Linked DNA regions of Rattus norvegicus. The protein of the gene in region 1 interacts with the protein of each later gene in a pairwise test. Links are inferred from orthologs where the notes say so. Each region holds a gene or a part of one and is shown on either strand. Other genes may lie near its edges.

The links.
Region 2: the proteins of Rgs20 (region 1) and Ptpmt1 interact in binary tests that used the Homo sapiens proteins (3 or more experiments, as listed by UniProt). The two-hybrid records come from large-scale screens. The link is inferred for Rattus norvegicus from reciprocal best matches to the Homo sapiens genes RGS20 and PTPMT1.
Region 3: the proteins of Rgs20 (region 1) and Faslg interact in binary tests that used the Homo sapiens proteins (3 or more experiments, as listed by UniProt). The two-hybrid records come from large-scale screens. The link is inferred for Rattus norvegicus from reciprocal best matches to the Homo sapiens genes RGS20 and FASLG.

Annotation. Positions count from the first base shown.
Region 1 is NC_086023.1:19,281,107-19,284,854, forward strand, and holds the start of Rgs20 (regulator of G-protein signaling 20), read left to right. Parts: upstream 1-1,142; 5' UTR 1,143-1,250; coding exon 1,251-1,418; intron 1,419-3,748. UniProt on the Homo sapiens protein: Inhibits signal transduction by increasing the GTPase activity of G protein alpha subunits thereby driving them into their inactive GDP-bound form.
Region 2 is NC_086021.1:97,352,325-97,356,037, reverse strand, and holds the start of Ptpmt1 (phosphatidylglycerophosphatase and protein-tyrosine phosphatase 1), read left to right. Parts: upstream 1-783; 5' UTR 784-996; coding exon of another isoform or gene 997-1,205; coding exon 1,206-1,553; intron 1,554-1,645; coding exon 1,646-1,726; intron 1,727-2,239; coding exon of another isoform or gene 2,240-2,293; exon of another isoform or gene 2,294-2,301; intron 2,302-3,713. UniProt on the Homo sapiens protein: Lipid phosphatase which dephosphorylates phosphatidylglycerophosphate (PGP) to phosphatidylglycerol (PG).
Region 3 is NC_086031.1:76,693,207-76,696,954, forward strand, and holds the start of Faslg (tumor necrosis factor ligand superfamily member 6), read right to left. Parts: upstream 2,298-3,748; 5' UTR 2,225-2,297; coding exon 1,886-2,224; intron 1,200-1,885; coding exon 1,154-1,199; intron 1-1,153. UniProt on the Homo sapiens protein: Cytokine that binds to TNFRSF6/FAS, a receptor that transduces the apoptotic signal into cells. Involved in cytotoxic T-cell-mediated apoptosis, natural killer cell-mediated apoptosis and in T-cell development.

The DNA.
Region 1 (3,748 bases):
GAGATTTGAAGCCAACACCTGAAAAACCAAATATGGAAATCCTTTCTTCCTACAACTTCCATTAATAACTTAGCAGTTATGGCCTGTGGGTTGAATATGAAAGAGGGTGAGATTGAAAGAGATGTTCTTATATTTCCAAATGTTCCTGTGCGCCACCCACGTGAAGTTTCTTTCATAACTCAGTTTGAATTCAAGCCTTGCCTGTTATATGACTATCACATAAAAAGCATGTATATATAATATTGTCTGTTTAAGCAAAATCTGAGTTACTGTTCGCCGCGCGCCTTTAAGTCTACAGCAGCGGAAAGCGAGAAGAGCAGGACATGAAGAACACGCAGTTTGCGAGGAAAGGACTGAGTGGCTCAGAGTTGCGGGCAAGGATAGTACACGAAAGCTGTACGATGGTAACATCCTCTCTCTGACACCATTTAGAATCATGTAGATGAACCCCTTGGCATGTCTGAGAGAGAGACATTCTAAATTGGGCTAACTGAAACGGGAAGACTCATCCTACACGTGGCTGATACTGTAACATGGCCAGGAGTGAAGAGCTAATTATTGTTCAGGACTGACTGCTATTCAGCCAGGTTCTTTGGACACAGGCAGGTACAGTCAATTCGTTGCCTGCCGTTCTCCAGCAATATCCACAGTCAGCCATTCGAGCTTAGCTGCTTCCTAGTCTAAACCTTTAGTGCTTTCCTCCCTGTGGACAAAGCCACCAAGCAGTTCCCTCCCTATACCGACAAAGCACGGAATAGCGGCTGACACGCCACGGAAGAGCAGCAGCATTGCTTCCACGGAACTCTGGGGGGCTTTGCTTTCATAAAGGCACAAAGGCATGGGGAAAATCAGAACAGTACTATGAACAGATGGGGGCTGCCTCAAAGGTCCCCTCAGATGGTTTTCACAACGCATCCATTTGTCATAGGGGCAGCTTGTTCTAACTCGAGACACTGAGCATTACAGCAGTGACTTATAAAGAAGAAACTTTCTTACTCACCTACAGAGGGCAGTCTTGGCATACACACTCAGTGGGCAGCTCTATCTGGAACGGAATGCTAAAATAGGTAGATAAGCCACTACTGATCCAGAGAAGGGATCAGCCTTTTACTTTGCTTAGAATAACATTGCAAGAAGGTCCCAGCAGACTCAGACATGGGCCAGCATTAGCCAGCCAAAGAACAGAGACGATACCTGGATGTTGGTAAAACCGGATGACAAGACTCCGGTAGGGCATTTGTTAGGAAAACATGCCCAGCCTTCCCCAAGGAAACCAAGGCTACCTGGAGGAGCATCTTTCCGGGCAGGCTGAGCAGGCACAGTTGCTGCCCCTGATCAGAGCAGAGAAAGATTCCAATTCCAGTATTCCCCAAGACCCAGAAAATAAAGGGGTCTCTCAGGCTGTGACTGGTGTCAAGGTAAGATGATCTCACAATCCCCACTGTCTTTGGCCGGGTAAAGGTTAACCCCTGAAGAATATAATGCCAGTAGCCAGTTTTATCGCAGTAGACTATGGGTGATTTATCAAGAATACTTTTGGAATAATTTACAGAAAACCTAAAAATTTGAAAACTACCTGGTGTCCAGTTTTCTCCACCCTAAACAGCTCTCTTTCACCATTGCTTTTTTTGTTGTTGCTGTGTTTTTGTTTTTTGTGGTTGTTCGTTTATTTGCTATGCTTTTGTGCTTGAGACTGAAGCCTTGGCCTCAGGCACACTGAGCGGGCGCTCAATCACTGAGCTACGTCCACAGAGTTTTGGCTGTTTGTTTTTTAGGTGATACTTTTTTTTTTCTTAAGCAGGAAATTTAGCTTCTTTAGCTGTTGCTACTAGTTCTTGAATGTTTTTCTCTGATAGAAATTGTGAAAGAAAATTAGACTTCTTTCTAAAAATATTATTACAAAATAATGAGAAGCTTCTATAGGAACATGAACATTAAAGATGTTAAATGTGTAGCTTCCTAAAGTGAGCTTCCCAAGTGTGAGTTTCTGACATTGATCATTTCTCCTATCCGGGGTTGTATGTTTCTTGGCAGAATGTACAGTGTGAGATGGCAAATTCTCTTAACTATTAATAAAGCACAACTGTTAATAAAAGGTTACAGTATGGAGAGGAATGGGCTCGTGTCCATGTTAAAAAAATAATTATCAGAGTTCAGAACTAAATGATGCAAAAGCAGACCACAGAAAACCTGTCCAAGTGAGTCAGCGCTGGAAGTCACAGTTGTTCCTGAGCCGTGGCCTACATCCTGAAAATGATCATTATATGGAACTCTGCACTTAATTCTCTAGACCTGCCCTGTGGTGGTATTTCAACTAATCGGTATGAGCAGAGGAAGGGTTAAAAGAAAATGAAAAATAAGTTTATTGTGAGTCTTTTTTTCTGTGGAAATAACTTTAATTTTCTGATATATGTGAGTACATCGTGAATCTGACACTCCAATTATTGTCGCCAACTAAGTACAGGACTTTATCTGATCAGCAGCTCATTCTCGAAGTTCTCAGATAAGAGTTTCGTTGTGTCGCTAAAACTGGCCTCAAACTCAAAATCCTACTGTCTTAGTCTCCCAGGTACTGTAGTTAAAAATGTGTGCCGCAACCAGTTAAGCATTAAGTCACCAAATTGAAATTAAAAGGAAAGATGTCATGATTAGGAGATCCTTATGCATTTTGAATATTTTAATTATCAGTGCCTCCCTTAACTCCTCCCAGATCCACACCCAGCTCCAGTTTTGTGTCTTTTTCTCTTTAATAACCCACCTACTAGGAGATCTTTATTAGCAAATATCTAAAAGCGAATAATAATCAAAAGAGATTTCTACAAGCTAAAAATTGGACATTATTCTTTTTTTTTTATTAACTTGAGTATTTCTTATATACATTTCGAGTGTTATTCCCTTTCCCGGTTTCCGGGCAAACATCCCCCTCCCCCCTCCCCTTCCTTATGGGTGTTCCCCTCCCAACCCTCCCCCCATTGCCGCCTTCCCCCGTAGTCTAGTTCACTGGGGGTTCAGTCTTAGCAGGACCCAGGGCTTCCCCTTCCACTGGTGCTCTTACTAGGATATTCATTGCTACCTATGGGGTCAGAGTCCAGGGTCAGTCCATGTATAGTCTTTAGGTAGTGGCTTAGTCCCTGGAAGCTCTGGTTGCTTGACATTGTTGTACATATGGGGTCTCGAGCCCCTTCAAGCTCTTCCAGTTCTTTCTCTGATTCCTTCAACGGGGGACCTATTCTCAGTTCAGTGGTTTGCTGCTGGCATTCGCCTCTGTATTTGCTGTATTCTGGCTGTGTCTCTCAGGAGCAATCTACATCCGGCTCCTGTCAGTCTGCACTTCTTTGCTTCATCCATCTTGTCTAATTGGGTAGCTGTATATGTATGGGCCACATGTGGGGCAGGCTCTGAATGGGTGTCCCTTCAGTCTCTGTTTTAATCTTTGCCTCTCCCTTCCCTGCCAAGGGTATTCTTTTTCCTCATTTAAAGAAGGAGTGAAGCATTCACATTTTGATCATCCGTCTTGAGTTTCGTTTGTTCTAGGGATCTAGGGTAATTCAAGCATTTGGGCTAATAGCCACTTATCAATGAGTGCATACCATGTATGTCTTTCTGTGGTTGGGTTAGCTCACTCAGGATCATATTTTCCAGTTCCAACCATTTGCCTACGAATCTCATAAACTCGTTGTTTTTGATAGCTGAGTAATATTCCATTGTGTAGATGTACCACATTTTCTGTATCCATTCCTCTGTTGAA
Region 2 (3,713 bases), on another chromosome or scaffold:
GTGCTTTGATAAAAATTCATCCCCTAACTCTTCTTCCTCCTAATTCCTTCCTGCCCATTATTATGAGTATTTCTTTGATAAAATATACCTCTTTTTTTAAAAGGAAGAAAAAGAAGTCAGACAGCAGTAGCACATGCCTTTAATCCCAGAACTCAGGAGGCAGAGGCAAGTGGATCTCTGAGTGCAAGGCCAGCCTGGCCTACAGAGAGAGTTCCACGACAACCAGGGTTACACAAAGAAACCCTGTCTTGAAAAACAAACAGGGGGCTGGAGAGATGGCTCAGCGGTGGTTAAGAGCACTAACTGCTCTTCCAGAGGTCCCGAGTTCAGTTCCCAGCAACCACATGGTGGCTCACAACCATTTGTAATGGGATCTGATGCTCTTTTCTGATGTGTCTGAAGACGGTTACAGTGTACTCATAAATATAAAATAAATAAGTAAATCTTTTTTTTTAAAGAAAAACAAACAAGCAAACAAAGAAACCAAAACCAAGAAGGAGGGAAAAAGCAGCAGATGCAGGTAAAGAATATTCTCTTGTGGCTGGAGAAATGGTTTAGCAGTTAAGAGCATTGGCTATTCTTTCGGGGGACCCTGGTTTGATTTCCAGCATTCACTGAGAGGGACTCTCGTCCCTCTAGTCACACTCTAGTCCCATGGGTTCCAACATCCTCTTTGTCCTCCTTGGACTTTGCATCCAGGTAATATCTCTCTCACACACACACACACATATATATATACACACACACTCAGAGGTATTGGGGGTTTTTTTTTTTGTTTGTTTGTTTTGAGACAGGGTTTCTTTGTGTGCCTTGGCTGTTCTGGAACTAGCTACATAGCCAGTAGAAGGTAGTTTGGGCTACATAGTGTGATCTGGTCTCAAAAAAAGTTAAGAGAGAGACAGAGAGACAGACAGACAGTAGACTACCACTTATGTTCAGGTTCCCTGCACCCCCAAGAGCAGCAGCTCCGGTCAACTACGCTCCTCTTACGCCCAGATGAGGGTCCTCCGGTTCCTCCCCTGTTTAGAGGAGCCTCACTGCTCAGCCTCCTCCTTGGTAATGGGTGCACTCGGGGGCCACGGCCCCTCCCTGAGGTCAGGGGTTGGAGAGCAGGCCCTGCTCCTTAGGCAGGGTCACAGTTTCACCCTATCGTTGCCGTTCTACTCTCCCTACCCCACCCCTCGCGGCGCCTCTCCTTTGGAGCCATGGTTCCTGTCCCGGGATCCCCCGGGCCTGCCTCTGACGGCGGGGACTCAGCTTCGGAGAGTCGGGAGGCATCAGGTGGCCCGCAGCTCTCGTCCTCTGCGTCCTTCTCGCGGTGGCTGACCGCGAGCTCCGAAGCGGGTGGCTGGCCGCTGCGCTTGGCGGGGTGGGGCGGGATGGCGGCGTCCGCGTGGCTGGAGGCCGGCCTGGCCCGGGTGCTCTTCTACCCGACGCTGCTCTACACAGTGTTCCGGGGGAGGGTGGGCGGCCCGGCGCACCGCGATTGGTACCACCGCATCGACCACACAGTGCTGCTGGGCGCGCTGCCGCTGAGGAGCATGACGCGCCGGGTGAGAGAGACCGGCGGGCCGGGCCGGGAGCGGGCCCCGGGCCTCGGCGGGCGCCCCGCGGCCCTCGCTGAGCCCCTTCTTTGCCTCGGCAGCTGGTACTGGACGAGAACGTGCGCGGAGTGATCACTATGAACGAGGAGTACGAGACCAGATTCCTGTGCAACACCTCGAAGGTAAGGACCCGGGCCCTCTGGCCTGGCTCAGTACTCGGGCCTGTAAAAGCTGGAGAAGCTAGGGGAAGGAGGGACGCTGTGGGTGACCTTGTCTCCGAGACTAGTGTCGGAGACACTAGTTGCCTTCTCGAGCACTGTGTCTGCGCGTCAAGTTCAAATGGCTGCAGGTGGAAAGACGCTGAAACTGATAAACCAGAAAGAAGTCCTGCGAGCCTGGAGCCCGGGCGACTCAGGTGGCTGAGGCAGGATCTTTTGAGCCCAGGAGTTCAAATGTGCCCTGGCCTCTGTCTAAAAAGAGCGAGCTAACCCGCTGTGGGTGGCTCACTCCTGGGATTTCAGCACCCTTAGGCAAGAAGAAGGGTCGGTGGAAGTTCCAGGCCAGCTTGGTGTATGTAGTGAGCTCTGTGCCAGTCAGGACACAAGGAAGTCCTGCTTTAAAATCGGGACGGGTTTACAGTTCTTCATGCACAAAATTGTACATGTATATGCTACTTTTCCTTTGTTTATTTTGAGACAGGGGTCTTAAGTCCTGATGTGATTCTACTGCCTCCACTTTCCCAGTACTGAGACTACAGGCATGTGCTAATACACCCATCTTATATTTGTGATTTTGGTCACTAACCTCAGTAACTAAAATTTGTGATTTATGTGTGTGGTGGTTTGACTATGCTTGGCTCTGGGAGTGGAACTAGAGAACCCTGACTAATACCGTGTGCCTTGCTGATTTCATTCATTTTAACACATTTTAGCATCAAGTTTGAATTAGGCAATATGTTCGTTAGCTTTGGAGATGAAGGCCAACTGTAAGGAAAGCATTTCTTTAAGAGAGAGTGTGGCTCTTATCTGTAATGTTAGCTCTTCATGAGTGAAGGTGGGAAGTGTTTAGTGAGGTGGAGGCCAGCCTGGGCTACACGAGCCTGTGTCTAAAAACAAAATCACAGATAAGAAAAGCGAACCCCCCTCTCTGCCAGGCATATTGGTGCATACCTTTAACCCCAGAACTCTGGAGACAGAGGCAGGCAGATCTCTGTGAGTTTGAGGCCCATCTGATCTATAAAGTGAGTCTAGAACAGCCAGAGCTATATAATGAAATCTTTTTTTTTTTTTTTTTTTGGTTCTTTTTTTCGGAGCTGGGGACCGAACCCAGGGCCTTGCGCTTCCTAGGCAAGCGCTCTACCACTGAGCTAAATCCCCAGCCCCATGAAATCTTATCTTGAAACCACCCAAAGAAAAGTAAAAAGAAGAACACTCCTTATTATATATACTATGTTAATAGTTATCATTGAAGAACTGCAGAGCGGGCTGTGGATGGATTTCAGTTGATAAACTGCTTGCCTAGAGTACATGAAGTCAGTGAAGAATAAAAACAAGGTGTGGCAGTGGCCCAGTATCCCAACACCCAAGAAGAAGACGATCAGATACTCAAGCTCCTGAGCCACATAGGAGTTCGAGGCTAACCTGTGGCATGGTATAGAAGGCCATTTATAGAAAAAGAAAAAAAGAAAATGACCGTTCCTGGATGCCCTAAAATATTGTCACAGGTCTCAAGGGGTCATTAGCTATCAGAGCTAATACTCACTCATGTGATCAATGTGAAAGGTCACTAAAGCCACACAGACAATGCTTGGTCTCTCCATGTGAGGCACTGTCCTCTGTAAGGTGGAGGGTTTTCATCCCACTAGCTAGAGAAAAGAAATCTCCAAGGCAGCAGCCACACTGGAAATGCCTAAGGATCTTCTGGCAGCCTTGCTAATAAGGCACAAGTTCCCACCTCAGGCCACCCCACCTCAGGCCACCCGACCCTCTCACCTTGATATTCTGACCCAGGGTTTATCTGCATAGTTAACAACTCTGAAAGTGGTTCTGGTTCAATTGATAAACAAGCAGAAATGTGCCTTTAGGTTCTGTTAATTTAACTGGTGGGATTAAGCTGGCCTTCATGCAGTCATTAAGTTGCAGGGACTTGCTACAGGTAGCAAGGAACATG
Region 3 (3,748 bases), on another chromosome or scaffold:
CCACTGTGCCTGTGTAAACTGGGCTCTGGTCCTTAGAGACTTGAATGCAGAGCTGAAAACCAGAGCACACCATAGTGACCCCTGAAAGAGCTTATATCCCCTTCCTTCCTTCCTTCCTTCCTTCCTTCCTTCCTTCCTTCCTTCCTGTCTCTCTCTGTCTGTCTCTCTCTCTCCCTCTCTCTCTCCCTCTCCGTCTCCCTCTCCCTTCCTCCCTTTCTTTCTTCCTTCTTTCTTTCCTTCCTTCCTTTCCATTAATTAATTTATTTATTCACTTTACATCCGGGTTGCAGCCACTCCCCCATCCTCCCTCACACAGTCCCTCCTCCTACCCCTCCTCTTCTCCTTTGAGAAGCGGGAGCGACCCCCACCCCCATCCCCCCCCCCCCGATATCAATCCACTCTGGCACATCAAGTCACTCAGGATTAGGCACATCCTCTCCCACTGAGGCCAGACATGGCAGCCCAGTTAGGGGAGTGGGATCCACAGGAAGGCAACAGATTCAGGGACAGCCCCCACTCCAGTTGTTGAGGGACCCACATGAAGACCAAGCCGCACTGAGTGTGGAGCCAGCACTCCTTTTGATGGAAGGTTCGGTTTTCTTCAGTTATTAGGATAAAACTGTTGTGTTGCCCTTGCAAGAGACACCAGCTTTGCATTTGCTTCTCATTTCTCAGCCGTTATTGAAAGGTGGGAGTTTCTCTGTGCGTTGTAAAGTCTTAATAGATAGCAAGGCGTCAGGGGACTGTTCTCTTAGCCCCAGTTTCATACCAGGGAAGCTGGGCATTGAACCTAATTGGTCTAATATTGTGCATCTAGTATTTTTGCCTCTGTCCTTAGGAGTCACAGTCACCACAATGTAAGATGGGACCAAGATATCCATGGAAGGAGCCAAGGGAAAAGATCCAGGGCTGTATGTGTGCTCCTTTCCAGTCAAGTCCAAATTCTATTGAGTTACGTTCGATATTCATTCAGATACACTGATATTGAGCAGTAAACTACCTTTTCACACTGAACAAAGAGTTAAAAGTTCCTCAGGATTTTGTGCCTAGGAATCATGAGCCCAAGAATGGGACGGAATCTCAAGCATCCTCACAACTTTGTTGAGTGTTGAGTTCCTCCGGGAACTCAAAAGACAGACATAAAAGTACTTACCTATTTGCTTTTCAAAAGATGATACTCTAAGGCTGTGGTTGGTGAACTAGTGGGGGGGAAAAAAGAGTCATAGAATAAATGTGGAGTTATTTAAGCCAAGGAGGCAGAAGTCACAGCAGTCCATAGAAAGAGGACTCAAATATGTCAGACCCTGACTGAGTTAGAGTTTGGCCATGCAATTGTATCTAGAGTTATAGTAAGGCTTCTAAGTCTTTTCAAAGAGATTTATTTACACTTCTGAACAAGATTTAAAGTTTATCTTCTTCCTTGAATCACTAAATATGAAGCAATAAAAAGTTCATCAAACACCATTGACAAGTGAGAGAAGAATAATTATTTGCTTCGAATTGTCTAGAAGGTGGAAAATAACTTCCTTTGAGCAGTGGTTCTCAAGGGAACACCGCAGCTCTTTAATACAGTTCCTCATGTTGTGGTGACCCCCAGCCATAAAATGGCTCCCCCACTAAGGGGTCATGACCCACAGGTTGAGTGAGGATCACTCTCTTTGAGGGAGTGAACGCCTGCTTCTCCAACTAGAAAGAAGAGACTATAACAACTCTTTTCTAAAAGCGAGGGGATCAATAAGATCTTTGCCATTCAAAACAAAACAACAGCAAAAACCTCAAATCATTGCAAACAACACAGTGGCCCACATGGGCCATAGCAAGTCCCTACTCCCACACAGCAGAGTCCAGGAACTCAAGGGCCTATTAACCCATGTGCTAGACTTACCTCACGGAGTTCTGCCAGTTCCTTCTGTAGATGAAAGAGTTGATACATTCCTAACCCCATTCCAACCAGAGCCACCAGCACCATGAAAAATATCACCGGTAGCCACAGCTCTATGTTGTCCTTCTTCTTTAGAGGGCTTAGTGGAGGCAGCGGGGGTGGTTGGGAAGGCGGTGGTAGTGGTGATGGAGGTGGTGGTGGAGGCGGTGGTCTCCTTTGTCCTGGCCCTCTAGGCCCAGAGGATGGACAAGAAAAAACTGACCCTGGAGGAGCCCAAGGAGAAGTGGCACTGCTGTCTACCCAGTAGATCTGGGGACATGGGTAATTCACGGGCTGCTGCATGGCACCCAGCCCCAGGAAAGGGTTTCCTCCTCTCAGTCTTGTGGAGACTGAAGTGTCAAGGACAGGACTCTGATGCTGACTGCTCCAGAGAAGGTAAGTGAGTTTTCTTTATAAAGTTTCCACAGTCAAGGGAAACACCTCTCTCCAGTTCTCTTCTCTTTGCTTCTCCGTGAGACACCCACTCATTTGCATCTGAAGCTGAGAAGCCTTAAAAGAAAAAAAAAAGCTCACAGCAACCCCAGGAAGTTTCCGCCCACAAATTTCTGACGAAAACTCTTCGAAGTTCCAATTGGCATCTCTGTGCTCACTGGTAAACCAGGCTTACCTGCCTGAGGTCCCACTCAGCAAATCAGCGCTGGATACCCCTAGAGGACATTAGCTATTCCACAGCTGCAAGACCTGTGCTATGGGGTGTGTCCTGTGAGGGCTGTTGGTGCTAAGGCACTGGGAAAAGACCAAGGCGTTTGGCTAGGGAAGCGATCTCTACAATCCGAGCACAGGGAATTTAATCCTCAATTGCTGTCCTTCCCTCTACCGAGCCCCCATTTCATAGTTGAGAGGGTAAAAGTCGCCCCACCCATTCCACAGATTGGATCAGAGGTTACAAACCACCACCAGGCCCATATATCCTTGGTACCACAGGATTGCTTTCCTATCACCAATGTTTTTGGTTCCCTTAGTTGCCCTCTTTCAAAATTGAGATCGCACGCAATAAAAATGCGTACTTCTATTCTCTTTGGAAACAGAAGAGTAGGACACATCCCCTGGCCATCTCTGAACACCAGGCAGCCCTGCCCCCACTGCGCCTGCCTCCTATCCCACTTCCCCTTCCTACTCTGTAATCATTTAACTTCACAATCCCTATTCTGGTTACCAAATGAAACTTGAAGTGCCTAATTCAGAAGAGTTTGGGTAAGCGGTAAATAATTCTTTTCTATAGCAAGTGTACCTTAAGCATCGCACAGGACAGACTGAGCATTACTCAACATTTACAGCAAATTTATGCCTTTCTAAAAACTGACCACTCCCTAGGTTTGATTTCAGTCTTCTGGCCCCACATACACAGCATTTATGTATGCCTAACAACCTCTAAGAACTCAGCCTTGGTTCCCATCACTTCCCCATATAAACCATACAAATCCCAGTAAGTTCCTATACTCCACCTTTTTTTTGGGGGGGGGGCAACTCTACTCTTTAAGAGGTTTTAGTTTTTATCTTCTGCGTTGGGATGTCTGGGATGAGCACCTTACCTCTCTCGCCTATGCTGAAAAACTCCCAAAGTGTTATATCTCTGCTACCTTCATCCTGATCCGCCCCAGCTGCTAATTCTCCTGAGTCACTCTGCTGCTGGCAAGCTCAGGCTGCTCTTTCCTTTTGCCCCCGGCCAGCCAGACCTGCTTTTTCTCACCTGCGACACATTTCTCATCTTCCCCTCCTTCATTATTCCCACAGCTGCTCTCCTGGTATCAGATTAGTCTCTCCTGGCTTTTCTACCTCAGCTCCCAGCCTTATTCAGTTATCGCA